3 linked regions of the Neurospora crassa OR74A genome follow. The protein of the gene in region 3 interacts with the protein of the main gene of each other region in a biochemical or structural test. Links are inferred from orthologs where the notes say so. Each region holds a gene or a part of one and is shown on either strand. Other genes may lie near its edges.

Region 1 (9,359 bases), on a different chromosome or scaffold from region 3:
GCCCCAACAGCCAACAATGCCCGACGCCAAAGGCCGCCGCATCGCTCTCGGATGCGAAGGCTCCGCCAACAAGCTCGGCATCGGCATCATTGCGCACGACCCCATCACCGGCGAAGCCCTTGTCCTGTCCAACGTGCGCGACACCTTCGTCTCTCCTCCCGGCACCGGTTTCCTTCCCAAGGACACAGCCCGACACCACCGTGCCTACTTTGTGCGTGTAGCCAAGAAGGCGCTCGCCTTGTCGGGGGTCTCCATCTCGGAAATCGACTGCATCTGCTACACCAAGGGGCCCGGGATGGGCGGGCCCCTAACGTCGGTGGCCGTGGGCGCCCGCACACTCGCGCTGCTGTGGGGTAAAGAATTGGTGGGCGTGAACCACTGTGTCGGGCATATCGAGATGGGGCGGGCGATAACGGGGGCGTCGAACCCGGTGGTGCTGTACGTGAGCGGGGGTAATACGCAGGTGATTGCGTACGCGGAGCAGCGGTACCGTATCTTTGGCGAGACGCTGGATATTGCAGTGGGTAATTGCCTGGACCGGTTCGCGCGCACGCTGGAGATCAGCAACGACCCGGCGCCCGGGTACAATATTGAGCAGCTGGCCAAGCAAGGTGGGCGAGTCTTGTTGGACTTGCCGTATGCGGTCAAGGGAATGGATTGCTCGTTCAGCGGAATCCTGGGGCGGGCAGATGACTTGGCGGCGCAGATGAAGGCGGGCGAGCCGGGCCCCGACGGCGAACCGTTTACACCCGCAGATCTGTGCTTCAGCTTGCAGGAAACGGTATTTGCCATGCTTGTCGAGATCACCGAGCGGGCTATGGCGCACGTCGGTAGCAACCAGGTTCTTATTGTTGGCGGTGTCGGTTGCAACGAGCGGCTACAGGAGATGATGGGCGCGATGGCAGCGGAGCGAGGCGGAAGTGTCTACGCCACCGACGAGCGGTTCTGCATCGACAACGGCATCATGATTGCTCATGCTGGTCTATTGGCCTACGAGACGGGCTTCCGGACGCCGCTTGATGAAAGCACATGTACACAACGCTTCAGAACCGACGAAGTCTTCGTCAAGTGGAGGGACTAATGACAAGGAAGGAAACGAAGACGAAGATGACCATTACGACGATACCCCCAAATCCCATAACCTTTACTCTATCCACGGCAGCCACTCTATATGCGCCTCTTGTTGTCCCTTAGTGCCCCCTTAATGGAGCAGGATGCCCATGGACAGTTTGCCGACAACAATTTGCGCCCGCTTCCATAAAGTGTCCTCGTCATCGCTACAGCGTCCTATAGACATTACTTGTAGACATATCTAGAATAGGTCATACTGGGCGGTTCATCATGCACCGCTATTCTACTCATGACTTGCGCTGTTCGTCTAGTAGTGGTAGCCACCAGCCAACTGTACCCAGCTCTGACTACTAGCATTCCAAACTCAGATGCCCTCTGTCGTTGTTGGCTTGTACATGATTGTCGTCACATACTGTACAGTCCGTTAGCATCAACGACTACGTGCAAAAAGATGCAGCTACGAAATACGGGGAGACGAACCTTGTTCTTGTATCTCGTCGTGGCCGACACAGCCAGAATATTATTCTTAATACTGCTAGTAGCTAGATGGTTAAGAACGGTATGGTTGGGCATGTTCAGAACGCTGTTGTCATCCTTGATCAAGGTGGCCGCGTTGAGGATGGGCTTGCCGAGGAAGCCAGGAAGCGCAGGCGGCGTTGGGAGTTTCTCGATGGCGTTGACAGCACTCAGGTAAGGTGGACTTTCCTCGGGTGCGTCGAAGTCGAGTAGATATTGCGGGATCTTGTTCTCGAACAGCTCCGCCGGAGGGACAGGTCGGTCCCTAGGTGCCTTGCTTTCCTCCGTCTCGGACGCGGAGGTTTTGGGCTCCGTAGGTTGCTGGGAATCCTTGGCGGCGCTTGCAGCAGCTGCCTGGGCAGCGGTGCGCCCCACATCATCAGGGCTGACCTCGATGTAGTTGACCAGGTTGTTGCCAAAGTCTACCGTGGTCGGCAAGTCTGGCGAGGTCTGCATTTGCCCGTCAACCAGAAAGCGAACGTGATGTGTGCCCGGCAGGATATTGATAATAGCAGCGAATACACCCGGTCGGCCCTCACTGTTGGCGAGTAGCGGTGTCAGCAAGGCCCCATCCGTATTGAGAGCGAAAGTGGCCGGGATGTAGAAAGTACTTACACCGGGTGTAATCGTGTCTTCCTGTTCCATTGGAAGATGGTGCCTGTCACGTAAACCTTCTCGCCGCCACGGAGCCATTCGAGCCTGGTGGGGACAGTCGGTCTAGTCTTGTCCACCCGTAGCTCCTCCGTGTCTTCTTCGTCCAGAGTTGAGCTGTTACTCAAGTTGGAAGAGCGTCTGGTGAGCGCGGTGAAAGTGTCGGCATCCTCGAGTGGGACCCCAATGTCGGTCGGGGCAATGATAGGCGATCCGGGTGTGTGGACCTCTTCCTCGATCGGCAGAGGTAGTCGCGGCGGCCTGGTCAGGTACGAGACATCTTGCAGACTGCTCAGCTGCATAGCCGCAGTCTCAAAGGCATCCGATCTCTCTGATAGCGGTGATCGCACCGGCGACCTAGGTGAGCACGACGAGGCGTGGCAGGGTGTGGGCACGGCTACAGGTTTCGCGGGCTCATGACTGTCTTCGGGTCTCAGCTGTCTTACTTCGACAGGTTTGGTGGGGGTGGCAGAGCTGGTAGGCACCGACGAGCCCGGCGAGCCGCTCTGAGAAGGTGGCATTCGCGAGTGCAGCGACTTGGGACGAGCGGTGGTTGAGGGCGGCTGGACGGCGGTGCCCTGGGCCTGGGTCAAGGAGGGCTCAGGAGGGGCAGCGACTCGCTGATTTGGGACCGGTATAGGGTGCTTGGTATCGCGCTTCACTGCTCTGGCAGAGTCATTTTGGATGGAAGCCAGCGACTGGTGCTGAGACTGCGATTGAGAGGAGGAGGAGGAGGATTGCGGATTCGGGGTCTTGGAGTCTCTGGAGGTGGAGGGGTTGTTCCCCATTTTCCCTAGCTCGATCGCTGGCGCTGATGACGGGATGGGGTCGCCGTGGTGGTCGGGTCGGTCGAACGGGGTCGTCACAGGTGGTTCGCTGCTACCGCGGTCTGCTGCTGTTACTGCTACACCTGTTCAACAATGCGTCCACCGGGTGCAATCAATTCATCTTCCACTCTCCGGGGTAATTGGCCGAGTTCGGATAGAAGGTGGTTTGACAGTCGAGGGGCTTTGCATGCTACGCCAGCGCTGGTCGTGGCTGTGGTTGTGTGGTTTTTGGGAATTCGAACGACGTTGTCAGGTGTCGTGTCGTAATAGAGTTGGAGCAGGCAATATCGCAGCAAACTGGAAGATGTGATGATTCGAGTCGTGTCGAATCGAGGATGCGCGAAACAAGTGGAAGAAGTGGAAGTCGAGAGAATGACGGGTAGGTAGAGAGCTCAGTTCAGTTATCAGAGTATCACTGCAGCAGTTGACTGTCCTCCCTTGGGCCAAAAAGCACAGCTGCCATCCACCTGGTTGCTCGATAAGAAGCGGGCGACCACTGGCAACTGAATGGAACTCGGATGCAACGCCCCGGACTCGGCGAACAGAGTTGAACTGTGGATGAGTGTGAGACGGCGCCCAGCCCAACTGCACGGCAGTGTCTCCACTGTCCACCTCCAGGCATCGGCCCCAGCTTCCACTTCGGCCCCCACCTTTCCCACATTCTCTCCTGCTTCTCTAGCTCCTGGACCGTGCGCCCCTTGCATGTCAACTCCTGGCCCGCTGTGAGACCTGGAGCTTGCGCTGGCGCGACGCGGCAGGCAAGAGAGGCGGCCGATCTTCTTTCCAGAGAACAACTTATCGATGTTCACATGCATTCCTCTAAAGAACATCACCCTCCTTCGTCAAGTGTCCTTTTCCAGTTATTCATTCACTCGCTCAGCTATTCGTAGACGAGTGAGTTATCGGTTTCCGCCCCCAAAGTTACCAGTAACATCGCCATCCCTACACATCTCCCAAAAATGTCGGAGAACTACGTTGCCCCCGGCCAGCAGCGCTACCTTCGTGCCTGCATGGTCTGCTCTATCGTCATGACCTATGCTGTAAGTCGAGCTGCCCTTCCTCGTTTCTAGTCACTCTATGACCGACAAGTTTCTGACCTTTTTTGTTTTTGTCATAGCGCTTCCGTGACGAAGGATGCCCCAACTGCGAAGACTTCCTCCATCTCCAGGGCTCGCCGGATCAGATCGACAGCTGCACGTCGCAAGTCTTTGAAGGAATCATCACCATTGCCAACCCGCAGAAGTCGTGGGTGGCGAAGTGGCAGAGGCTGGACGGTTATGTGAAGGGTGTATACGCGACCAAGGTGTCGGGCCAGTTGCCGGATGACGTGCGCACCACGTTGGAGGATGACGGCATTCAGTATATCCCGTAAGTTTCCTGCTTACACTCGTGTGGTCTGGCGAAGCAGGCTATGATCGTGGGGTTTTCGGGGCACAGCCAGAAACTAACTTGGAGCAGGCGCGATGGCAGTGCGACGGAAGCGGACTAGAAACTCGAAGCTGCGGTGCAAGAAAACAAGACGGAATAGGGCGGATAAGAAAGCAGGAAAGAGAACCGACAAGCAAGAAGGAAGAGGGACCGATAATAGATCGTTCACAGACAACCCAGGAGCGGAATGCGGAATGCCTGTTAAAGGGAAGGCAACAGGAGTTCAAGGCGTTAAGGCTGGTTTAAAGGGCGTGGTCTAGACAGCAGGATAGTGGCCATTTTTTGGGTTTTGCATGATCAACCCAGGGCTATAATTACACACTGCAGCGAAATACAACAATCATACAAATGAGTTTATCACTACCTAACCTATATGGAAGATTATTCATCCAGCTACGGATCCCTTTTACGAAAACCCCAATGCAATATGGTATCTTTTTTTTAAACATTTCCCATCACGCCGAAAACGCCCCTATAACATGTACCGAAATATTGCCAAACCCGGAGATAGCATAACCTTTGACCAGTTACCCACGTGAGACTCCACAGTATGTTAAAACTGGAAGCGTGGCTTCTTGTTGGGAAAGTTCCCACCCTTCTCCTCGCGAGCCCTCTTGCGCTCCAACTCCTCCTTCATTATCCTCTCGGCCTCGCTCATCTTCTTGGGCGGAGCAGCCATAACCTTCTTGGGAGCCCCAGCAAACGCATTCTTGAAGACGTTCTTCGGTTGGGGCTTCATGCCGAACTTCATAGATACCGGCTTCGTGGCGGGAGCAGCGGCAGCAGCAGGACCAGCAGGACCAGCAGTCGAGTCAACCGCGGGTTTGCTTTCCTCTGCCGTCGTCTTGGCAGTGGCCTCTTCGCCCTTTGAACTTGCTTCCACCTTTGCTTGCTCAGAGCTTACACCGTCCGTCGTCGTCTTCGTTATTGTCGAAGGTGGCGTCACGGTATCCTTCTTCTCCTCCGCAGCAGGAGGAACCGATCCGTCCCCAGCACCCGGTGTTGGCATTGCCGCCGCCGATGTCGAACCCTTCTCACCCTCACCCGACCCCGACCCGGGCTCCTCTTTCTTTGTTGTGGCCGATTTTCCAAAACTCAACTTAATCTTCTCCCCCTCCCTCCTCTTCAACTCCTTCCTCTCCTCCTCCTCCGCATCAAAGCTAACCCCCCTCGCCTCGGCATCCTTTTGCGCTCTCTTAATTTGCTCCCTCAAAGCCCTTTGCTCCCTCTCCTCATCCCCCTTATCCATCATCTCCTTCCTCCTGACCTTCTCCCTCCTCTCCATCGCCTCGGGAGAATCATCAATCCACGCCACAAACAACCCCTCCCCCTCCTTCTCCTCCACCCTACACAACCCTTCCCTGCCCAAAAACTTTGCAAACTCTGTGAGGGAATGCCACTTGGTCGCGTTGAGATGCACGTGGTCCTTGCGCGCAATCACCTCCTGGTAAAATTTATTGATGTGGATCTCCTTCTCGCCATGGCTGGTCTTCAGCTGCGCGATGAAATCCTTGAGGAACTGGTCGGAAAAGGTGTCTTGCACGCCCTTGAAGTTGGCGCCCGCCTCGAGCGCTTTGGCCGTGTGCGAGGGCGACTGGCAGTGCATCTTGTACCCGTTCTCGTCGCGGCAGGATTTCTCGCACAGTTGGCAGTACCAGCGCAGCCGGTTGAGGCCGCGGGATTTCATCTTGTTGGCCAGATATTTGGCGGAGCCGACTTCTGCTTTGGGCATCGTGAATGGGTAATTACGGACTCCGCTGCGCGCGAGTCGGGGCGGGTGGGGGAGGTGATTGGTTGTATGTGTTTTGTTTTCGGAGGGTGTCGCTCGGTACAGTACAGGACGATGCGGCGGATGACGGTTTGGAAGTTGCGTTGGGTCAAGATTAACTATGTGACGGAGATGGTGAGTGAGTAGTGTTGGATGACTTGGAGCAAAAATCGTGGTGTTTCGCTCTTCGACCACCTTGCGTTGTTGTTGGAAAGTTGATGTTCTGCAACGGGTAAAGGTTCGAGTGTAGGCCCCGATTGCCAGCCGCCACACAAATGTTACATGCCGAATGCCAAGCATTTGAAGCGATCAACCAACAACCCTAACCCAGACATGCTTCCCATTTGGTCGAGGATCACCCCTTTTCGCTTTGTTTACACAAAGGAATCTGATTCCCAACGGGGTATTTTTGATGCTACGGATGACACTGTGCCTCGGAAATTGTGTTTCGGCCGCTTACGGAGAGGTCTGCCATACAACGGACTTGGTCTGCGCTGTGATAGAGTATATGCCCGGCTTGCTCGAGGTTTACACTTTTCTGTACTCTTCGACGACGTCTTTTTTCTTTTTTCCTCTTTTTTTATTGGTTTTCTCTCGGACACTCCGGTTGACCAGGATCGCGATCCCCACTTTCACCTTTATGCAAAGGTATTTCTGGTTATCAATTGGTGCTATGCTTATCGTTCACTCTCTCGGTTACAATGACTGAGTTTCCTCGCACATTCGTACCTTCTTACGACCACGCTTCTTCATTTCTTGTAACGGATCCATCAACTGTCGACGATCTTTCAGCAGTATTTACACAGTTACAGTTATGTTGACAGCAAACTACAGCTGACATATGATGAGTATCCAAAAACAACAGCCACCCCATCAAACCGAGATTTCCCGCATTCACCCAAAAGCAAAAAGACATCAAACGCAAAAAAGCCACAAAAAAAGACACCATCGGTCGAAACGGACGCGTTTGGGTATCAAATTGACAAAAACAAAAGAAGGCAATGAGTATATACAAGAAAAACCAGAACATGATTGTACCGTAAGTGAAATGACATATTGATGTCGTATGAAGACCAAAGGCGATCGCTCTGTAACTCCAAAAACCGCCAGATAGAAGAGAAGTTGCGCTCAAACTCTCATGTTGAAAATGGCATGGTTTCTGATTCTCGGACGATGGTTATATGTCCCGTGTAATATAGAATGCCGTGGGTCCAAATAAAGCGTATTAATCGGCATGGATAACAACAAAAGGCTGATATACGTACTGCATAGTAGTATATAGGCGATGATGTCATAATGCAAGATCGGCATCCGGGATTCGAAGTTGTTCGTGCTGCTCGGTGACTGACGCATTGAGCCAGGTTTCTGGAAGGTTCAGTCTGTTGGCATATCCCTGCGATGGCACGGTGCTTGATCGTGCCTGGCTCCAGTGGTGATGAGCATCCTCAACGGCTTTCTCTCTGACATCTGGACTTGGGTCCTCCTTCCAGAGCGCTGCCGACAGGGTGGAAAGTAACCAATGCCGAGTTCTCTCGCTCATATCATCCCTGGCGGAGCTGTGACTGGTGCCTGGGCTTCTATTTGCTCGATCCTGGGTGTTCCCTGCGAGCCAGAATTCGATGTTCCGTGACCCTTGCTTCGTAGAGTATTATTCGACCCCAAACCGCGCTTCATCATTTTCCCGAGGACTGTGACGAGCTCACACGCATCGTTAAACATGTCGTTGTCGATGCCTTCCGTCGCCTCATACACCTCCGAGATGGTTTCCTTTGCGAGTCTTCGGCTAGCCTCGGCATCGTGAACGCATTCGTATAGGAAGGCTGCGTATTCTGTCTTGACCGAAAGCCGTAGCGAATGTGATCCCCAAAGGTGCTGTTCCGCGAGCTGGATAGCTTCCTTGAAGCATTGCTGGGCCAGTGGTAGGTAGTCCCCGGGCTTCATGAGGAAGGCTGTTGGTGATTGCGGACCAAAACCTGGGGGTGGACCAACGGGCCCCCCCTCAGATATCGACCTTGAAGCACCGTGATCGTATGTGTCATTGCCTTTTGCTACCCTTTTTCCCTTGTCGCTGGCATTCGCTACACTGCTTGTTGACTGGCCTTCCGGGGTGTTGGTTCCTATCGTTGTAACAGGTGGAGTGTTGTGAAACAAGACGATAATGTGATAGAATGAAGCTAGCAGCTTGTATGCTAGGATTTTGAGTTCGACATTCTTCTTTAGCGTTGCCGATGGCAGTACATATTGATCGAGCAGTAGTAACCCCTCCCGTGACAACCAGACGATGTGAAGATGAAGGTCTAATGGAGGATTTCCTGAGCTGCCGTCTTGTCGGCGCTGTTTTCGTGCGGTGATGAGCTGACTCGAGAGGTTTATCGAAAGTCCTAGAATCTTGTACAGGACAGAGGAAAGCAGGGGGTTTTCACTCTCGACTAGCCGGGCGAGCTTGCCAAGAAACTTTTGGTCGATCTCCGAGGAAGCCATGAAGTCAAGCGTTCGCAATCGACTCAACTGATCCTTTCCCTATGATGAAAAAGTAATGAATCCAGCAGTCAAACTGACAGGAGTTGAGCCGTGTCCAAGAATGAAAATGGTGATGAACTCCTGCTGTTTGTCGACGAGTTGTCCGTTCGCTACCTCGGGGAGGCAAATTGGTCCAATGAAGATGATAAGTTAAACGAGAGACTGCCGAGATAAATTCGATTCGTGTGTTGCGTCAGTGGTGAATCCTTTTGTTGGCCCCAGCACAAAATCTTGCATGGGGAAAGTTGGTGTATGAGCGCTGAGATGAATGAAGCACTTGGCTCAAGAGTTTCGGCGGAAGACTGTCAATCAGATATGTATAGTATTCGTGAAGCTGAAACTGGGCACTGTAGCTTTGTTTAGAACTCATCAACCTTGGCATGCTTGACGAGTTGACTGGACGAAAACTCACCAATATCACACAGAAGAGCAAATTGTACTAGGTCGGAGGGAGGCCACCAAGATAGCAATCTGCCCACCAAAACGGGCCAATCAGGAACTTGAGGGCGGCAATGGTGTTAGGAAAGGAGTGAGGCGTCGGTGTGAGGGTAAAAAAAAAGTTGAGGCTCAAGAATGGA
Region 2 (10,524 bases), on a different chromosome or scaffold from region 3:
GGTAAGTCTGATGGACCTTACTCCCATCAGCTGGGACTTCAAGATGTTCATCTTTACCCTGGGCATCATGTATTTCGTTCTGGCTTGGGTTGGCGAGCACGTCATGTTCCAACGGCTTGCGCGCTTGATTGGAAAGGTCAGCCAGTCGTTGACCAGGGAGCCCAAGAAGAGGAAGGAGTATAAGGTCATTTTGGAGAGGATGATCTGCTAATTGAGGGATGTCGTCTCTTTCCCACTTTGACACCTTGTATATACGAACGTAGGCCTGGATGGCGCCGAGGCGTTTCAGGCATGGATGGAGAGTGTCTTCGCCTCCCCCCCTCCCCAGTGAGTTTTCAGGCTACAAGCAAGCGTATTTAGCAAAGATTCGACTATATCCGCGTTCACCTTGTAATCACGGCCCTGATCATACCCTATCCGAAGCGTTCCTGTTTTTGGAGGATCTCCTACCCAATACCGTCTGCTCATCTTTGTTTTATCTCAGCTTTTTGTGACCTCGAGTCTAGACCCATCCCAAGCCATCCCATCTCAACTCTTCATAATCATGTGTTGAGTGCTTGCCTCTAATGTAAAGCCGACGCATTCCCCGCCCCGGGAAAGAACATGATGAGACACGTTAACACCCTCAACTCTTACTATTCCCGTTCCAAACGACGCGTTTTGCGGCCGCGATTGCTGGGCGGTAGTACCTCGTGCTTTCATCGCACCTTCCGTTGAAAGGAAGCCACAAGCGGTCAACTCAGAAGACTGGAAGGCGTTACTCACCGCACTTGTCCATCGAGTCTATCAAGAACTCAGTCCTTGAGCAGTTCTGCCTCGTTCTTTCTGATTTTCTCCAGCAACACACTCGAGCACCCACAACAAGATCCTATAGAAACCTCGTTGCCCCCAAAAGAAAAAAAAGGAAGGAAAAAATACTCGCGGTTATGTCTTTGCCATAGCAGCAACTACCACCCACTCGTTCTTTTAGCTCGTCGCACACACACCTAGAGGATATCTCCCACTCACGCTTCACTCTCCTTCTGGGACACGTCCACCGTCAAGCGTTCACACGGACTGTAGCATCCTGTTCAACACCAACGTTCAAATAAGCATCAGACGAGATGTTCCCCTTTATCAGTGAGTACATGTTGACAATCTGCTCACCACACATATGTGAACTTGGGAGATCCGGTCTGACATGAGGTCCTGTAGGCAAGCTTCTCGACAACCTCAATGACACTTGGTGCGACAGTATCCTGGACAGCGGTGTCCTCCCGCATGCTGTCCTTCGCGTGCTCATCCGCAGGGAGCTGCGCCGTCGCCTCGATGAGATCACTCCTCCCTTTCCGGACAAGGTCATCGCCACAGTGTCTGCCAAGGGCAATCCCAGCCTGAAAGCCAAACTCGAAGAAATGGCTTCGCCCAAGATTGCTCTTCTCCCGGGCGTCCTTGCTCCCATCTCGCGCTGGTCCGAGACTCTGGCGTACAAGATGAACTTCTTCGAGACTGTTCGCCATCAGCCCATCGCTATCGAGACGGACGCCGCAAACAGACAAAACTACGAGATCGCCACAGGAATCATGGCGAACATGCTTGGTCCCAGGATCAAGTATAGCTGCTCATATTACCCCACCGGCAATGAGTCATTGGGAGAGGCCGAGGAGAAGATGCTTGATCTCTACATCGAGAGGCTGGGTTTGGAGGCTGGCATGAGGTTCCTGGATCTTGGGTCAGTTCACTATCACTCATGAGAATCGGACTAAACATTGCACGCATGAGTTGCAAACACATAGAAGAAAGAGCCTAACCCAGTCATAGATGCGGTTGGGGAGCTGCCGTCTTGTACTTCGCCGAGAAGATCCCAGGCATGGAGGTCGTCGGCTTCTCCAATTCGCGCACTCAGAAGGAGTACATCGACGCTAGGGCATACGAGTTGGGCCTGATGAACCTTCGGATCATCACTGGAAATTGTACCGACTATGAATTTGAACGCGACTATTTCGACCGGGCGTTGTCCGTCGAGGTGAGCAATTACTTGGGGTTTTCTCCGAGACACTTTTAAGAAGTAGTCATTGACATGAGAGCCCTAAAGCTGTTCGAGCACATGAAGAATTACGAAGGTCTGATGGCCAAGATGTCGAGAGCCCTTCGTCCCGGTGGCCAGCTTCTCGTCCACCACTTCTGCCACCGTACGACGCCGTACCATTACGAGGATGGATGGATGGCACGCACCTTCTTCACTGGAGGAACCATGCCCTCATCAGATCTCCTTCTGTACTTCCAGAAGGACCTGGTCATCAAGAAGCACTGGTGGATCAATGGATACCACTACTCGAAGTCTCTCGAGGTAAGAATACCGACTCGAACCCCTCGATGCTTTGAAAGAGCGTAACATGTACATTTGGATCCGAGACAGGGGCTAACACATAAAACTCCCACACAGCATTGGCTCGAGAACACCATGGCCAGAAGGGAGAGGATGATGCCGCACCTGGTAAAGACATACGGCGAGGAAAAGGCCGTCGTTTGGCATAACCGTTGGCAGATCTTCCACCTGGCCAGCTCGGAAATGTTCAAGACGGACGGAGGCGACACGTGGGGGGTCACCCATGCTTTGTTCGAAAAGCCAGATATGGAAATGCAGGTGTTCGGCTTGCAAGCCGTTTGAAGCCAGAACTTGAGAGTGTGTAAAGGTCAACATGGTCAGAAGTTCCCATGAATGATTGGCGAAGGTTAGTTAGCATGGCGTACATAGAGATCACACTTCATATCTTTCCCCTTTATATAGTTATTTCATTCAAGATGCGCCTGACTGTTGTTCTGACGCGATTTGCGGCCTGTCTTCAGACCTGATGAATGATGACTGATGATGACGCCCTTCTGTTATACGGGCCGATACCTGTTCTGTTGGTCCAGTTCCCATGCCAGTCAATGATGTTCTGTTCCAGCCACCATGTCGCTTCGTAGAAGTCTTAACGCAGTCCTTATGGCCACTTCCACGTCGTTGAAGATTCGCGTCGATACCATTCCTTCAGTGATCCCAAGGGTGCTTCAAGCCGAGGAGAACGGCCCCGTCCTTCTTTGCCCGGTACATGATCTGGTAAACGCATAGGGCGAGCACGAGTCAGTTACTTGTCCGGGATACGCAGGATTCGTGATGACAAGGAAGTTTACCCAGAACCACATCGATGCACCAAGGCCAATGCTCAGGAACTGGTAGATGGGTTTGCTGTGGTTGGGAGGCACGCGGTACCACCATTTCCCTTGCAACCTCTGGTGCAGCGTGCGCGGCTGGAACTCGGGCCCGTGAGGGTAGTTATCGGGGCGAGGGACTCGCTCGAATTCTCCATCGCCTGCCATTGTGTGGAATATGCAGTAGCCCTTTTTTTCCCGAGGACAATTTGGTGTTTGTTAGTTATTCAATTGCGCATTCACACAGACATGATCCAGGTGGGTTGGTGGTGGTGGTGGAGCTCTCACCTTGTGGTTCTGACCGGAGGGCGTGGGTTTTGCGACGATGGGGGGAGACCGGAGATGGAGTCGTCCGTCCTTTGGGATCCTGACCACCTCGGGCTACCACTGGAGGATGCGTGGTTGTTAGTAGTAGCGAGGTACCTTTTTGAGGATCTCAATCATTGGTTGCCTGAATTCTGAGGCTACAGATTTTGCTGTCACTTGTGGAAGGGATAAAGGGTACGAAGGTACAAGCGATGAGTTGGAGACGTCATGGTCTGCATAGACGTACCTACCGGTAGGTTGCCTGCCCATCGGCTTTTTATCGATGAAGTGACGGGAGGTTCCCGTCGCTTGGAAGGCGCGCTAGGTACGGGCGGGTAGAACTTGCCCTGTGGAAGCTTCGTTGGGAGGTACCTCTACCGCTACGGTTACGGCCTGGGTTTGGGGTAAGGTACTTTCCGCTGTGGGCTCGTGCATTGTACACCCCGACACGCTAAACATGGACCCGATACGGGGGCCGGCCTGCCACTTCTAGGGTAGATGTAGAGCGCGCCTCCAGTCTTGTGAAGGCGACGGGGCATTTTGTTCCCTTCCAGCCGAATATCCATTATCACAAAGTCCAAGAATGAAAACCAGAGGTGAACCCCCAAACACCAACCGGCAAATTCGCATGTCGCTTCATGTCTTTGCTTTACACCTGACAGCACAAACTGCCAGGTAACTCACCAACAGCCGGCAGATACAGGGCAACCGACGCCTGCGCAAAGCGACAGAGGATTCCTTCCATCCTCCTGTTTCCCTTCTGCTTTCGCAACTGGAAAATCAAACGCCGACGATATCCATAACCAAAGCCAAACAACGTCCCGCAGCTTCCAACACAACACTGGCCTCTGGCCCCTCGGTTTTAAGCAAGTGTCGCCAAAAAGATTTTATACAAATAAGAGGAGGAGTGCTACACGATGAGCATCGACGAGGCAAAGGAGGGCGGCGGAGGCCCTGCCATGTCTCCTCGCGCTTTTGCGCTTGCGCACCAGAGGGACAGGGGCAGCTTCGTGGGCTGCTCTAGGATTGCCGACTATGAAGTCCTGGGTAAACTGGGCGAGGGTACCTTTGGGTATGTGTTCATCGTGTGTTTCCCCAGAGCAATCGTTGCGATTATTGACACTATCCTGCTCAGCGAGGTTCACCGCGCGAGGTCGAGGAAAACGGGCGCCTTGGTCGCACTCAAGAAGATCATCATGCACAACGAGAGAGATGGGGTTCGTCACCGTGCTTGCCCTTCGATTCGGTCTTGGTTTCGACGGTCCCTAACGTTGACTTGCCCATCAGTTCCCCATCACCGCTCTTCGAGAAATCAAGTTGCTCAAGCTTCTCTCGCACAAAAACGTCTTGCGCCTAGAGGAGATGGCGATTGAGCATCCACCCAGAAGTAGGTCAACCTGCCATGAGCTACAATGACGATGGCCCTTACTAAAGTAAACACCGTCATCAGCCGACAAGCGAACAAGACCTATCGTATACATGGTCACACCCTACATGGACCACGATTTATCCGGCTTGCTCGATAACCCGTCAGTTCGCTTCACTGAACCACAAGTTAAATGTTACTTGCTGCAGTTGCTAGAAGGTCTCAAGTATCTGCACGCGAACCACATTCTGCACAGAGATATGAAGGCGGCCAATCTTCTCATCAACAACAAGGGTGTACTACAGATTGCCGACTTTGGTCTAGCGAGGCATTACGAGGGCGACATTCCCCAACCCGGGAAGGGAAGCGGCGAGGGGAAGCGTGACTACACTAGCTTGGTGGTGACCAGATGGTACCGCCCTCCCGAGCTTCTGATGCATCTCAAAAGGTACACCACAGCAATAGATATGTGGGGTGTTGGGTAAGACTAGACATGTTCCCTAGATGCGCTCTCTTTCATGCTAACAACCATTACAGATGCGTATTCGCAGAGATGCTGGAAGGAAAGCCAGTCCTACAGGGCGAGAGCGATCTTCACCAGTTAGAGCTTGTTTGGGACCTCTGCGGAACACCATCTGAGGAGACGATGCCGGGATGGAGGACGTTACCCGGTGGCCAGGCATTCTCGTCAAAGCCTAGGCCAGGAAATCTGGCACGCAGATTTGAGAAGCACGGACCCGTGGTTATTTCGCTGCTTAAGGAGCTGTTCAAGCTTGACTGGAGGTCACGCATCAACGCGATTGATGCTCTCAACCACCCATATTTCCGGACTGCGCCACTACCAGCTCTACCTGGCGATTTACCAACGTTCGAGGAGAGTCACGAATTCGACAGGCGCAAGTTTCAAGACAGGAAAGCGGCATTGCCGCCTGCGCCTAAGGGAGGCACGGTGGGCCGCGGGGCTGTTGTTAACAGCCAAGGCCCAGATACCGGATTTAGCGGTAGGGATGGTTACGGCGGTGGTGGTCGTAATGGGGCAAACGGCGGCAGATACCCGCCATACCACCGTGGTCCCCCACCAGGCGACGAGCGAGTTCCCTCGTGGCATAGTGCACGGGGATTGCCTCCACGACCTCCGATGCCCGCAGACTACCATGGCAGCGGGCCGATGGACCACACCGATGGGTACCGTGACCGTCCACCACGTAGAGGTCCCGGCGGACCGCCCGGAGGGGGAGGTGGTCCGAGCAACGTAGACACTTACATCCCCAGCTACGACCGCGACGGACCCGCGCCGCGCCGAGAGGACTGGCGCCGCCGTGATGACTGGGATGACAGGCGAGGTGGAGTGGACCGGGATAGAAGACGGCCAGAATATGACGTTAGGAGCCGGGACAGCAGGACGAGGAGCCGAACACGCAGCAGATCCCCGGTCCGTGACCGCGATCGAGGTCGGGACCGCGATGCATATGCGCGAAGATAGAGTTCTTCGCCTGGTGTAGAAAGCTCTGATAGTTGCCATGCCGAGAACCATAGGAGTAACTCGGAGGAAGAAGAGTGCAGTACATCTGATGGGTATGATGGTGATAGGCCCAACGGGGATGAGGGGGACAATAGTAATAAGCCTGATAGGGGTGAGCGGGACAATACCTCTCAATCTGAAGAAGGGTATTCCGAATCACCTCTATGGGTGTGACAGCGATATGCCGACTTGGGTTTTTAGTAAGAGTTGTGGACCTAGCGGAGATGATGGAACGACACCGAGACGACCAGAATAGGTCCTAGAGGACATGTGATAAATAGCGCTCGTGCTGCTAGAAGCGGAACTGCAAAAAGCGTTACAATCAAGGAGGGAGAATGCAGGCTGTCCTCGAGGCCACGAGAGTTGGGGTGCAAAGTAGGCCGTTCGAGAAGCCGTAGTGGGGATTAGGATCGCCAAAAAGCAATAGCAATGCGTGCATGCCTTGAATAAAGATGGTGTTAGCCTGGTGGGAGTTTGAGGCGATTCACTGTGATGGCGATCACGATGAACGAGCGTCAGAAGGTCGGGGATAGAAGAGCATGTGGATGATGTTTGGTTGACCTATAACACCCTCTCCCCTATCTCTGTCTAGCTTGTTTATTTGATAGGCATTTGGGGGAGTGGAAAGCTCAGTACAGACTGCCCAGACGACAAGTGTGGTTATCAGCGATATGCGTGTATCGAGGTGGGTCCCTAATTGGTACATCGATACAATAGAATCTCGTGTAAAAGCAGATAGACGTATGCAAACATCATCGCAGCATGTCTTATCCTGGATGCAGCTAGCTAGGATGTTTCTGACCTTTGAAAAGGAATGATTCGAGATGTCTAATGTGGTGATTGGAATTCCAACATGTGGAAGGGTAATGTCGAAATGATCAGATGTTGTAGTTCAGATGAAATGCAGCAAGTTCGAAACATTCATTTCGGATCGCAAACGGCTCGCGACTGAAAATCTTCCACTTACAACTTCACAGAATCTATCATCCTTCAGTTACTACTGGCTATGCAAACTCCAAAGCAGTCACTTCAATCTCAACTCTGATCACATCTCATCGATACCAGCGTTCAAAACGTTGATATTCCATTCGCATACAAAAAGAAAGACAAAAAGAAAGACAAAAATAACAGAGAAAAAACGAATGCTAAAGCAAAGCAACACCAATCTCAAATCACCAAACTTAACCGAATCTACTACCTTCCCAAACACAACCTTCACCACTACCACCACTACCAAAACAACCGAAATGTCAACAGAAATGGATATCGACCCTCCCACCACCAACATCACCATCACTACCAAGCCCACCAAATCATCAAAATCCCAGACCCTCACTCAAACAACCATCCGCTCCCCCGTCTTCTCCTACGCCCACCTCTCTTTGGTTTCTCCCTTCCCATCCTCTTCCTCCTCCTCCCAAAACACCCCCTCCCTCGACGACCTAACCGCCCGGCACTACCTCACCACCGCCCTCCGCCAATTCCTCGGCGACACCGGCGCCTCGCTGGCCATCGACATGTTGCTAGTCAAGGGCACCGAATGCTGGGTTCGCGTGCCTAGGGAGGATTTGGCGGCTTTTGCGGCGGCGGTCACTGCTTACCCGGGCCATAATGTGGGAGGGGAAGAACAGATGTTGATGAGGGTGGTGGGGTGTGGGGATTGGTTGGGGGCGTTGGTGGGGAGGGAGGGGGAAGCGAGAGTTTGGGGGTGAAGCTTGAGAATGGGGCATGAGGTGTGAGACTTCGTTGGGAGGGATTATTTCAGTTGTCTTGGGAGAAGGAGGGCCGTTCTGTCCAGGAGTTGGGAAGAGAGGATTGCAGTGAATGGGAAGAGCTCCTGGGCTGGACGGCTAGGAGAGTTCTGTGGCAGGAAGAGGTCGAGGCTGAGTACTTACCAGACTGTAGCTACGGCAGCTTCAGGAAAGGGAAAATGTGAGGAAGATGGAGGGAGATGACTGTATACTCGTCCTGTTTCAACGGCTATCTCTGTGGAGAAAGAATTGGCTTAAATCGGTACAGCCCTCGCGGCGAATGTTCTGGGTCAGCGACTGTACACGAGGTTCCAAGAGCGTCATACGGACTACTTACTACAATTTCTGTGCGCCGTACGTAATTGTGATGGTCCCCTATGAGAAGACAGAAGACTTGGCTTTTACGCAAAGGTCGCGATTTCATGCAGACGGAGTTATGAAAGAGGCAACATCGAGATTGTCGATTGGCAGACTAGAAGATATCACCACTATGGAATCCAAATAACACCAGAAGGAATATATATCATCAAGACAAGAAGAAGAAGAACCCTAACACCATAACCCCGATACTCCTGCGCGCGACGCCTAATCACATGCAATCGAAAGCCAAAACAGAACCATTCTCCTTGCAAAACATGCCCGATCTACACAGCATCCCGAGGTATTCACGCCGTTTTATTTTCTGTGGTGCTATACAAATACATCCAACTTTTACATCAGCGACGACATGACGGAGCTTTGCGCATATGCCTAGGAAAAAGGATTAGTTTCGGTACGGTGGCGACAGTCATAGAGATCAAGAAGACTCACCATGGGCTTTATATTGGGATGCGGCACGGCATCGAACTGCGAGAACTTCAACTTGTAATCGGGACCAATGTTGATGTAAGCGCCCTTGTTCTCCGTCATGTCGCAGTACTTGGGCGCCGAGAAGACGGTGATGCACTTTCCGTCGTGCTCCTCCTCGTAACCGTCCATGCGAACCTCGTGACTGCGGATGATGGCCTCCAAACCGTTCTTGTCGCAGAAACGCTTGGTAACGTCGGGACCGAACTGCATGCCAACACCGCGCTTGCTGGGGCCGCGACCAGGGAACGGCTGAGGATCTGTCCAGAGCATCTCCATCATGAGGCCAGCCTGACCGGGCTGCTTCTGCTTGTGACGGTCGAGCTTGCGGATGTCGTCGAGCGTGACGTTGTCGTCCGAGAAGAGACCGCCGTGGAGGACGAGGAACTTCTTGCCAATCAACGTGGCGAGCGGGAGGGCCGAGAAACTTTCCGAAAAGAGCTTGTAGGTTCTGGGAAGAAGGTGAGATGTGTCAGCTGGTGTGTGCTCGAAAATTCAGGATGTCGCATAATGGGCGCAAAGAGTTCGACTCGCTTACCTCTCATTGTACTTGTGCTTGCACTCGCCCTCGAAGCCATACACCCTGTTCATGTCGTCTGTCTCGTGGTTTCCGCGGTTGATGAAGAAGCCGTTTGGCCTTAACCACTTGTAGGCATAAAGGAGGAGGGCAATTTCGGTCGACCAGGAACCTCTGTCAACGAAGTCGCCGTTAAACAAGTAGTAGTGCTTATCGCTAGGGAAACCGTTCAACCTGAAGAGCTCCATCAGATCGAAATATTGGCCTATTCACAATTTGTCAGTAACCATCAGCTCGGAGGGGGCCATGCAAGGGCAAACCAACCGTGGGTATCACCGCAAACTGTCAACTGCACATCCTCAGGGATGTCCACCTCAACCATGGTGGGCTCGTTATATACAATGTTCCTGACGGCGATAATGATTTGGTAAACGTATTTCTTGTGGATCAGTTTGCCGCGCTTGAAGCGCTCAATCATGTCGTCGATAAACTCCTGTGTCATCTCATTCCCTTCAAGGCGCACGCCGTCGTAAGAAGCATCCACTGCCATGGACTCGACATCGAGGCCCTCAGCAGCAGACAGCTCATCCCCGACTTCGATAGCGGCAAAGAAGGCGAGCTGGCGCACAATCTTCTCGCACTCGACAAGCTTGAGCTTGGCATCCTTGTTATCGGGGGCAATCTTGACGCAAGTCTTGAAATCCTTGACGGCTTCCTTGGGGTTCAGGATGGCGGCGTAGGCGGTAGCGCGACGGTAGTAGGCCTAGACAGAAGGGAGGGGTTCGGATTAGCTACTGCTTGCATTTGCGACTTGTCTCCAGAGAGATTGATAAGACTGCGGCAATGTCAGCCAGGAAGGGCTTGGACGTACCTTGACGAAGCCCGGGTTGAGCTCAATGGCTTTTGTGGCATCGCGAATAGCATATCCGTATGCTTCTGTTTTGAGATGGGCCTATGCGACGGAGCAGAAAATCGCGGTTAGTTGTCACGCGACCACTTCAAAAAAGCGCGACTGTCGGGGAGGCGACGTAGGCGACGGGGG
Region 3 (10,255 bases):
ACCGACACCTCCCATTTGGCACCTATCTCTTTTTGTTCATAATCCCATTTTTCTCCTTCGCGATTGATACCCCCCCCCTCTACCTCCCAAGACACACGTCATTTTACGCCCTTGATACCACATCCAATATTCACCTTCCCTCGACATTCGCGATTGTCTAGGTCCCGATGCCGATTGCGTAGTGCACCACTCTCACTTCCACATCACGACGAGAAACGTACCGTACCGTACCGTACCGTACCGTACCGGGTCGGGTCGCGTGCGTGAAGCCATGACTACGGAAAAGAAGCGCAAGCTACCTCCTCGTGCCGCGGCGAGGTCTGAGCAGGCCGCCAAGCGAAGACAAACCGACACGCCTCCGACCTCGAGAAAGTCTTCCACCCCAGCGCCCGCGCCCCAAAAGGAGCCCGAGCCAGAGCCCACTGTGGAGGAGCCACCCAAGCAGACATTGCCCAGCTCCGTCACAGCAGGGAAGCCGCTTCCTACCGTCGAGGAACCGCAGCCGGAAGACCTTTCGACCAAGGACTATCAGACTCTGCAAGAAAGGTGTGCAGCCCTCTTCAAACCCCCGCGCGTTCATGCGCTTTGGCTGAATCTAACATGACCACTTCGCAGCGGCGTTCTCCACGAGTCCTTTGTCCGATCGCGTAACCAATGGATGACCGAGCAAATATTCGAAAAGTACTGGACGAAGCCGATAAAGAAGAGGGGTGCCGTCATCGAGGAACCCAACAATCCTCCCAAGGACAGCATGGTCAAGCTGGGCCAGGTGACAATCACGGTTGAGCCACATGTCTTCGAGGCGACAATGTTCGCAGTCAAGGACCCCAACCCCCCTCCGCCAAAACCGCCAACCGAGAAGCGACCGATCCTCGAATACGGACCTCCGAATGGGGTCATGCCGCCTCCTCCTACACCCAAGCCCAAGTCAGTGGCGGCCTCAACCTCGTCAACACCTACGCCAGCTGCATCAGACGCCAAGAAACCGACCACAACAGAGGCAGATCCAAAGGTCACCTCTCAGACAACACAACAAGCGGAGGCCAAGCCTCAAACACCAGGCAAGCTAGCAGTACACCCGACGTCACAGACACAGCCGACCAAACAACCATCCGCGCAAAGTGCTCCTAGTCCAGCTGCTGCGGCCCCATCCACGCTCGCGAAGCCCGCTGGAACGCCTAGAGGCATCGAATCACTTCTTTCACCATCTCCGTCCTTGGCGGCTCCGCGGGCCCCAACCACAGCACCAGCTGCTGGTGCGCAACCACCCCGACCAGTGCCCGTCCCACCAACCGTTCCACCAAGTGCTGCGACTCCGGCCACCCCCTCAATACCATCTGGTGTCCCCCCCAGACCAGCAACAGGGGCTCCAGCAGCTCCAGCAGCTCCTGCCACGCCAAGAACCACTGCCAATGGCGCCGCACCAGCCAAGCCAGCTGCGGGGGCAGATCCAATCATTCTCATGCTAGCCGAGAAGGCTGGCGAAGACCCCCAACTCCGAGATCTCATGAAGCGGGTGGCCCAGGGAGAGGCCTCCAAGCAGGAACTCGAGCGATTCCAGGGTATCATTGACGCCATCACGTCAGAGAGCAAACGGCAAAGCAACATTCCGGCGCCACCAGCTGCAGATAAGTTGTTTGTCGATGGAAAAACGGTCCAGTACTTTGCGGATGAGGTAGCTGCAATACTTGACATTGTTCTAGCATCCAACCCTAAGCAAAAATCATCTACTTTACAGCCGCCCAAAGACAGCGATGCTCTCCTGGTCTCGTTAGTAAAGATGGCCCTGGACGATGAAAAGACGAAGGAAATGGTCCGGCGTATAGCCCACAATAAGCCTCAACCCACCGATGCCACGGATCTTAAGGCGATTCTGGACCTCGCGCATTCTAACCTTGTCACTAAAAAGACTCAACAGCAACGACGCCAATCAACGGTTTCGGCAGCGGGATCTTCGAAACAAACCAACGGCGCGAGCAATGGGACTGATGGCGGTACAGGAACGACCTCACAGGCCAACGCTGCTGAGGAGAAGAAGACGACGGAGAAGGCCGAAAAGGCCACAAAGGAGAAAGGAGAGAAAGCCGACAAGTCATCGGCCCAACAGGCGCTTCGTTCAAAGGGCCCCCCGCCGCCGCCCAAACAACCTGATTATTCGGCCATCGTATTCGAGTTTGCGGGAGGAAACGGTGATCGGTACCTCTTTCCGAAGTTCAGCATTCTGGATTATCAGACTATTCCCAGTAGCAGCGCTAGCAGTACCCAAGGACAGCAACAACAACAACAGCAGCAACAGCAGGTGGTGGCGTCATTCCTTATCATCAGGAGGGGAAGCAAAGCAGTATATCCGATGGCGGACCCGGAGCTTGATTACTACCAGCCCATAACTATAAGGTTGTTTACGGCGGCTCCCAGTGGCAAACATGTGCTGGATAATTTGGCAAGAGTAGTGGCGCCGGAGGAAGAGGTCAAGAGGTACATGGACGATATCATGGATACCATGCAACGAAGCGAATACGTTCTACTGGCCATGAGGCTGCCCAGACCCACCGAGACGGCAGAGAACGGCGAAGGAGAAGGAGATAAGGCGCAGGACGGGGCCGGCGCGGCCGGGTCTGGAAAGGGACAACACGCGAAGGAGAAAGACAAGGACAAGGAGGTGGTGATGATTGATGCTCCATCAAGAGCGGAGGAAGCGGCGGCGGCGGAACTGAAAGCGCCAAAGGCGGCAAGGACGGGGGGAGTGTTGTGGACGACGGCAAACAAGCAGATACCCAAGCCGGAGATTAGGGAGCTTCCACCGAGGCGGAATGCTAGAATCATGATGGAGACCGCGGAAGATGAGCAGTATCAGAGCTTCATTCAGACGGTCACCCGGAAGGATAAGGAGGTGGTCAGGTGATTGTTTTTTTCCTGGAGGAGCGCTGTATCATGTAGATAGTTTTGTCTGTCTGTCTCTGCCAGGAGTTGACTTTTACTTGGCCGTGTTTACTAGGTATGAAAGGTTGCCTAGTAATGGTGTTGACAAGGGCAAACGAAAGGGAGGTTATCACGGTGCAGCGCTCTCTTCTACATACTCTATCAGCTGAAAGTACTTGTACTTCAGCCACGTGCGCAAATGAATAGACGATGAGGTATCTCTACCTACCTAGGTACCCGTCCTGGACTGCAAGGTCCTGGTCGAATGTAACCTGAACAAAAGGAACCTCTTGCCGGCCGGAGACCTGACCTTGGCCGCGAATAGCCTAGCGGCTTATTCCAGTGCTTGGCAGCAGCAGCAGCACACTCCCCTGCCGTCCAGTGTCCTCAACCAACCGGGGGTGGAGGTGTGACCGTCCGTGCTTCCAAGTCCACCCACTCACTGTCCAGTTGTGGGCCGTGCAGCTCTCTTTCCGCCTCACGACCCGCGGTGCTGCTGCTGCAAGTCTGCAACTGAACACTCACAGCGAGTCGACGCCTCAAAAGTCGGTCCATTTCCCACCACATCATCCATCGGCTCGAGGCCAGCCAATCTTCCTTTTCTCACCTACAAATATAATCCCACATCTCGCGACCTACGGCCATCTCTCCCTTCCTCTCTCCTTTTCCATCTCTCGCCCACACCTCGACACAACGCGCGACCGCCGGTAGTACGACTGTACGACACCCCTGTCGCTCGCCGCTCTCTTTCAGATAAATTATTCAGAATGGCGTCAAACAGCTGGCAGTTCGCCGGCGCCGACGACGAGTCCGACGATGACAACTTCAACCCCGCCCCCGCCGACATGTCGGACGAGGAGAACAACGACAACGACGAAGAGACCACGCACAACCACCGCCCCGCTGGTAAGACCGTGAGGCAGGCTAGTAGCCCGGTACCAGACGAAGAAGAGGAAGAGGAGGAACATGACGAAGAGGAAGACGCGCGCCCGGCCAAGCGATCGCGTCGAGATCACCACGACGATGACGAGGATGAAGAGCAAGATGAAGAGGAGAACGAGGAGATAGATGAGGAGGAAGAGGAGGACGAAGAGGAAGAGGAAGATGAGGAAGACGAGGATGATGTTCATGGTGTAAGTCCGGATCCCAATAATGTCCCTCCACACTTCAATTCTGCAGCACCATCCCATCCACACTTGCCAGAAAAAAACAACAAAAGACAAGTCCCGGTGCAGATGACCCGCCAAACCTACCCGTGTCGCCACATCGGGGACCTAGCTAACCCGCTGTCTTTTGTCCGCAGGGCAATCGTCGCAAGCGTCGCAACAAGGACCGTAGAGCTGCCTTCTTCGATATCGAAGCCGAAGTTGACGACGAAGACGAGGGAGAAGACGAAGTCGGCGACGGTGAAGAGATAGAGGACTTCATCGACAATGCCCACCCTGACGATATTGCCGACAGCGGCCGCCTTAACGATGACAGAAGACACCGCGAGCTCGACCGCCGCCGAGAGATGGAGGCCAGCCTCGACGCTGAGAAACAGGCAGAGATCCTGCGTGAGCGCTACGGCAAGCGCGCCCCGGCTAGAGGTTACGGAGACATGGCCATTGTGCCCCGTCGCTTGCTTCTTCCCAGTGTCGAGGACCCCAGCATTTGGGCCGTCAGGTGTAAAGAAGGAAAGGAGCGTGAGGTCATCTTCTCGATTATGCGTCGTATCGAAGAGCGAATGGGCACCAAGAACGAGGTCCCCATCACGGCTGCTTTCGAACGTGGTGGTATCAACTCGGTCATGAAGGGATACATCTACGTTGAGGCTCAAAGACAGAACGATATTCTCGTGGCTCTCGATGGCATTCTCAACGTTTATCCCAGGAGCAACATGCACCTCGTCGAGATCAAGGACATGCCCGACCTCCTGCGTGTCATCAAGACGCCTAACCTGGAGCCCGGCGCTTGGGTTCGTCTCAAGAAGCCGGCCAAGCACGCCGGTGATCTTGCTCAGGTTATCGACGTTACAGAAAACGGCCTCGAGGCCAGAGTCCGTTTCATTCCCAGACTCGACTACGGTGTCAGGGATGACCCCGTCTTCCAGGCCGATGGCAAGCGCAAGCGCCCCGGTGTGCCCGGCCCTCGTCCTCCCCAGCGTCTGTTCAGTGAAGCCGAGGCGCGCAAGAGACACCCCCGTTACCTCCAGGGGAACCCGCAGACCAACAGCTGGAACTACAACGGCGATGATTTCGAGAACGGTTTCCAGGTGAAAGACATCAAGATCCAGCAGCTCGAGGTCAAGAATGTCAACCCTACGTTGGAGGAGGTTACCAAGTTCGCCAGTGGAGCCGAGGACGGTACAGAGAACCTCGATCTTAAGGCTCTTGCTGCTACTCTCAAGGATAGCGCTAAGAGTGTTGCGTACGTCCCTGGTGATATTATCGAGGTGTATGAGGGCGAGCAGCAGGGTGTCATCGGCAAGGCCACCAATGTTCAAGGCGACATCGTCACATTGCAGGTTACCGAGGGTGATCTTGCTGGCCGGACCATCGACGTCCCCAACAAGGGTCTGCGCAAGAGGTTCAGGATTGGTGACCACGTCAAGGTCATTGGTGGCAGCCGGTTCCGTGACGAAGTTGGTATGGTTGTCAAGATCGTGGACGACAGAGTCACCCTCCTCACAGACCAGACCAACACGGAGATCACCGTGTTCAGCAAAGACCTCCGTGAGGCATCTGATATTGGTGGCCAAGGCTCTCTTGGACAGTACTCCCTCTTGGATCTTGTGCAGTTGGATGCCACGACTGTCGGCTGCATCGTTAAGGTTGATCGCGAGTCAGTCGTGGTGCTAGACCAGAACGGCGATACCAAACAGGTCCAGCCGTCGCAAATCACCAACAAGCTCCCCAAGAGGAAGTTCGCTGTGGCTGCTGACCGCAACGGCTCCGAAATCAGGCTGGACGACGTGGTCCGTGAATATGGTGGCCAGCAACGCCAGGGCAAGATCATTCACATTCATCGCTCTTACATTTTCCTTCACACCACGACCACCAACGAGAATGCTGGTGTTTTCGTCACTCGGGCTAACAGCGTCACCACGGTCGCGGCCAAGGGTGGTCGCAACACTGCTACTGCGGGCCCAGATCTCAGTGCGATGAACCCAGCCCTGAAGCGGAACCCCACTGCTAGCGGCAAGCAAATGCCAGCTCCGCGAACCTTCGGACCTGATCGGGCCATTAACCAAACCGTGGTTATTAGACGCGGTGGTTACAAGGGCTTGCTCGGAATCGTCAAGGACACAACGGACACTCATGCTCGTGTGGAGCTGCACTCTAGGGGAAAGATTATCACCATTCCCAAGGCTGATTTGAGCTTCAAGGACAAGGTCACTGGCAAGACCATTGACATCAACCAGCGCGGTGGCAGCCGTGGTGGCTTTGGTGGAGGAGGACGTGGTGGCGGCGAGTTTGGAAGCAGGACCCCTATGGCTTCGGGCGGATCGGATCGTACACCGGCTTGGGGCTCTTCTCGATGTAAGTTTTCTGTTGTCATGTTTTATCATCACTATTTGCCTGAAGCTAACATTGTCACTAGCCACAGCCCGTACCCCTGCCTGGAACCGCGACGCTGGCGGCTCGCGTACACCGGCCTGGAACGACGGCTCCCGTACCGTCAATCCCTACGACGGCAGCCGCACTCCTTACGGTGGTGCTACCGCCTACGGTGGCATCGGATCCCGCACTCCGGCGTGGCACTCGGGTTCTCGCACCCCCGCCCCCGACAGCTTCGGCCACGGCTCCAAAACACCAGCCTGGTCGGCCGGCTCCGACAGCTGGGGCTCCAAAACGCCCGGTTACGGTGCCTCTGCTCCTACGCCTGGGGCTAGCGGCGATGCCTGGGGCTACACGCCCGGCGCTTCAGGCGGCGGTAACTCATCCTCAGCTTACGATGCGCCCACGCCCGGTGGCGGTCTAAGCGCGCCCACTCCCGGCGCGGCACTCAACGCTCCTACACCTGGGGCGTACTCGGCTCCGACGCCGGCTGCTGTCAGCGCGCCCACTCCTGGGGCCTGGCAGGGTGGCTGGGGAAGTGGCGGTGATGCTGTAAGTGCGCCGACACCGGGTGCCCTGGGTGCCCCTACGCCGGGAGCACCGGGCTATGCGGATGATGATTAGAGACCAAATTCCGTGATGAGTCCTAGGGTGTAGGAGGATGTGATTTAAGCTTTCACGTTTGTTGTCCGGCGTCTAGATTTTTTGTACGTTAGTTGGGGTCTTCTGGGTGTCAGTCATTTGCAAGACGGAAAAGTCAGGAGCGCAAGGGATCCAGTGGAAAATGAGGATACAAAGGAAGCATGACATGGGTATGATGCAGTGCAAATGGAAGCAAATCGAGGAATAAATTAGCGGAAAAGGCGGTTTCCTCAGCTTGGTGTTTGTTCTTCCGTGACTTGAGCAGGATATTCATCGCTTAAGCATCAGCCTTGTCTGAGATACCCTTGATGTCTTCACACGTTGTCCGTCCCTCGCTGTCTACTACTCCTACGTAATTTCTTGGGCTCAAATATCTATGCATGGAATGATCGAGACCCATCCTATGAAGTATAATTCTTTTACTTTCTCTTATAAAGTCGAGGCAGTTAAATTGCTGGAACGTCGAAATGTGTCCATGTTCTTTGTTACTTTGATGATGATGAATGCTGAATCAGGGGTTAGGGTTAGCGTACCGTTTGCCGCCGCCAAGCACAGACCTGTGTTGTTCTCCCTCGCAGCTTCATCCGTGCATCGACATCCATCTCCACTCTCCAACATCAACACCACACACAAAGCTGGAGAGAATCCAATTGTCAGCCCACAACACTCGCGACTTATTTGATTCCTTGACTTCCTGTTCCTTTTTCTTTCAATCTCTTACTTCAGCTGCCATGAAGCCATGGGGTCCAGTCAGCAATTGGCCGGGGCCTGAAAGAGAGACAGACAAGTTGTCCCCTTCGGTCACAGTCCACTGACTGATGTGAGGACGACGACGTTCCCGTCGCAACGAGAACTCGACACAATGATGGCTTTGTTCTCTCCCCTTGCCGACGGATTGGTCAAGTGTCGATTGCCCATTCCGGAGCAAACAAAACACGCTGGGTTGTCAATGCTTGGTTCGAGCTGCCAGCCTGTTTCTTTGTCTCCCAGCTTCACAATGTTCGCATGCAGCAACTCCAGCTCTCCCTCGAAGGTTCCCGTCCTTGACTTTGGACAAAGAAGATTACCTCTAGCTAAAGCATGACCCACAGAAACCACCAGCAGTACAGCTTACCCTTCAATGGGCCACCCACTTCCACTAACGCAAACGCAAACGCAAACACCTTTACTTGTATTCGAAGGGGGCCAAAGGAAGCAAGCGGAAGAATAATGCCCTCGTTTGTCTCTTTGTCCGATGTGATGCCTTGAAATGGTTGTTTACCCCCTACAATCACCATTCCCTCTCAATGTCCTTCTCTTCCTTTTTCTCTCTTCTTTTCTTCCTCCATTCGTCGATTAAGCTGTACGCCGTTCATAAACAAACCTCATCGTTGATCAACAGCAACAGCAACAAGTAAACAAATCATCAAAAGTTGTTAGTGCGGACTGACCAGGCTCATCTACAACATCTGTAGAAGACCTAGTCCGAACCCAAACGAGTGCGGGAACGACCATCATGCCTTGGGGACTTCCCTTCTTTCGGAACCGCACGGAGGACCAGAACCAGAACAACAAGAAAAAAGGCAGCAGCAAGAGCCCGAAGAACGCCAACAAACCCACCAACCGCGTCACCAAGCCCAGAGCTCACTCGACAGGCAACCTGGAAAAGTCTACCAAGTCCACCATCCAAAAAGCCATCGACTCCGCAGACAGCTCCAAGTCCGTTCCCATCACAAACCCGTACGGCTCCCGCCTCTTCGGCACCGATCCCTCCAACCTCGCCTCTTTCAATTTCCAACGCCCTACCCCAGCCATTCCCCTCTCCCCTACAGAAGTCGCCATTAAGAAACGTGACCAACGCCTAGCCGCTCTCGCCCAGCGCAAAGCACAAGAAGAACACGACAACAAGCTCCGCCTCGCCTCCCTTCGGCGAGTCGACCCTACCGTGACTCCTCACTCTGACGCCTTTCAAACCATTCTGTATTCCCTTCGCACCCACCTGGACTCGCCCACCTCTACCTTGAACGAGCTGCTCAAGTCGCGGTTCAGTCCCGAGGATCGGGACCTGTTGCTGCCGGCTGATTGGGAGCAGAATCCCGTCTTGGCTGAGTTGCAGGGGAAAAACAGCGAGAGGTATAAGAGGTTGGTCAAGGGGGAGGTGAAGGGTTGGCAGAAGAAGGGGGATAACAACAACGAAGGGTGGGCAAAGGAGGCCGATTTAGCGTTCAAATTGACTTGTTTGTACTTTGGATTGCCGGTCGCACCGATGGGGTGGGAACAGAGCGAGACGAGGAGGTGGTGGGAGAAGAAGCAGCAGCAGCAGCAGCAGCAGCAGCAGATGAGTGGTGCTGGTGGTAGTGAGAGCGAAAGGGGATACGGTGGGCCGGGGTATGACGAGGAAGAGGATGATATGGGGAATATTGTCAGGAGGCCGAGAGAGGATCCGATCAAGTTCTTGAATTGTTATGGGAAGAGGGTTTTTGAGAAAGATGCTGTTCGAGGTGAGTCGTCTCTACCTACCTACCGGTTTGAATGTGCTGCTAACGGCTGATAAAAAAAACAGAACCGGATCCAGTCCTGGAGACGTATAACGCTTTGCCTCGGTTCCCGCCGACACTTAAGGAACTCGACCCTGAGGGCGACTACATAAACGCTGATGCGTTGCGTGTAGATATGCCGGATAGGTTCGACTTTAGCATCGGCCTGCGTGGCGGTGGTGATTTTGATGATGAGGATGAAGAGGACGAAGTCGACGAGGATGAAGAGCACTCAATGGGTATTGATGAGCCCGTGGATCTTGTCCCATCCCCAGAAAACGCCCTCGTCTCTCTTCGCGGCGGAGGTCCTCTCAAGGACATCGGTGGCGTCTTTAAAGATATCGACCACGGCAAATATCGCCTCTCCACCGAGGCTTTCTTTGCTTTTGCGCAGACTGATCACCACAAGGAGGGCCTCAAAAGCCGTCTTGAAGGCGAGAGAGGCGTGTTCGAGAATCTGTGGATTCCACTCTACGGTTACCAGGGCATTGTCTGGTTCCGTATCGACATGCTCAACACCTTTGTTGACGCCGTCGATCGTCTTTTGGGCTTTGGCGTCCGAGCTGGTGCCTCGTACAAGCTCTATGTATTCGACAGGAACAAGGAGTACAAGACCCGAGCCCAAAAGGAGGCCTTCTT

What was found.
Region 1: the proteins of NCU06929 (region 3) and NCU03838 form a complex in vitro, tested with the Saccharomyces cerevisiae proteins (4 studies listed by BioGRID, with this or other methods). The link is inferred for Neurospora crassa OR74A from reciprocal best matches to the Saccharomyces cerevisiae genes SPT5 and SPT4.
Region 2: of the proteins of NCU06929 (region 3) and stk-1, one has a biochemical effect on the other in vitro, tested with the Saccharomyces cerevisiae proteins (2 studies listed by BioGRID). The link is inferred for Neurospora crassa OR74A from reciprocal best matches to the Saccharomyces cerevisiae genes SPT5 and SGV1.

Annotation. Positions count from the first base shown.
Region 1 is NC_026505.1:2,569,535-2,578,893, forward strand, and holds NCU03838 (transcription elongation factor spt-4), read left to right. Parts: upstream 1-3,681; 5' UTR 3,682-4,024; coding exon 4,025-4,105; intron 4,106-4,182; coding exon 4,183-4,433; intron 4,434-4,523; coding exon 4,524-4,554; 3' UTR 4,555-4,874; downstream 4,875-9,359. Other genes in the region: NCU03836 (O-sialoglycoprotein endopeptidase, variant), read left to right, coding at 17-1,081; NCU03837 (Snf1 kinase complex beta-subunit Gal83), read right to left, coding at 1,436-1,483, 1,552-2,125, 2,203-3,026; NCU03839 (APF1), read right to left, coding at 5,047-6,225; NCU03840 (hypothetical protein), read right to left, coding at 7,798-8,742.
Region 2 is NC_026505.1:4,754,881-4,765,404, forward strand, and holds stk-1 (serine/threonine-protein kinase bur-1), read left to right. Parts: upstream 1-4,018; 5' UTR 4,019-4,397; coding exon 4,398-4,552; intron 4,553-4,615; coding exon 4,616-4,697; intron 4,698-4,767; coding exon 4,768-4,867; intron 4,868-4,930; coding exon 4,931-5,327; intron 5,328-5,383; coding exon 5,384-6,329; 3' UTR 6,330-6,894; downstream 6,895-10,524. Other genes in the region: NCU10143 (ATPase type 13A2), read left to right, coding at 1-211; NCU10144 (SAM-dependent methyltransferase), read left to right, coding at 1,104-1,119, 1,195-1,711, 1,801-2,005, 2,075-2,329, 2,426-2,650; NCU01436 (questionable protein, variant), read right to left, coding at 3,014-3,079, 3,157-3,342; NCU01434 (hypothetical protein), read left to right, coding at 7,511-8,080; ppt-1 (serine/threonine-protein phosphatase 5), read right to left, coding at 8,831-8,869, 8,930-9,416, 9,504-9,747, 9,807-10,245, 10,354-10,434. UniProt on the Saccharomyces cerevisiae protein: Serine/threonine-protein kinase component of the BUR kinase complex involved in transcription regulation.
Region 3 is NC_026507.1:791,365-801,619, forward strand, and holds NCU06929 (transcription elongation factor spt-5), read left to right. Parts: upstream 1-3,381; 5' UTR 3,382-3,686; coding exon 3,687-4,052; intron 4,053-4,222; coding exon 4,223-6,440; intron 6,441-6,501; coding exon 6,502-7,082; 3' UTR 7,083-7,498; downstream 7,499-10,255. Other genes in the region: NCU06928 (hypothetical protein), read left to right, coding at 272-546, 616-2,902; NCU06930 (hypothetical protein), read left to right, coding at 8,596-9,580, 9,643-10,255. UniProt on the Saccharomyces cerevisiae protein: The SPT4-SPT5 complex mediates both activation and inhibition of transcription elongation, and plays a role in pre-mRNA processing.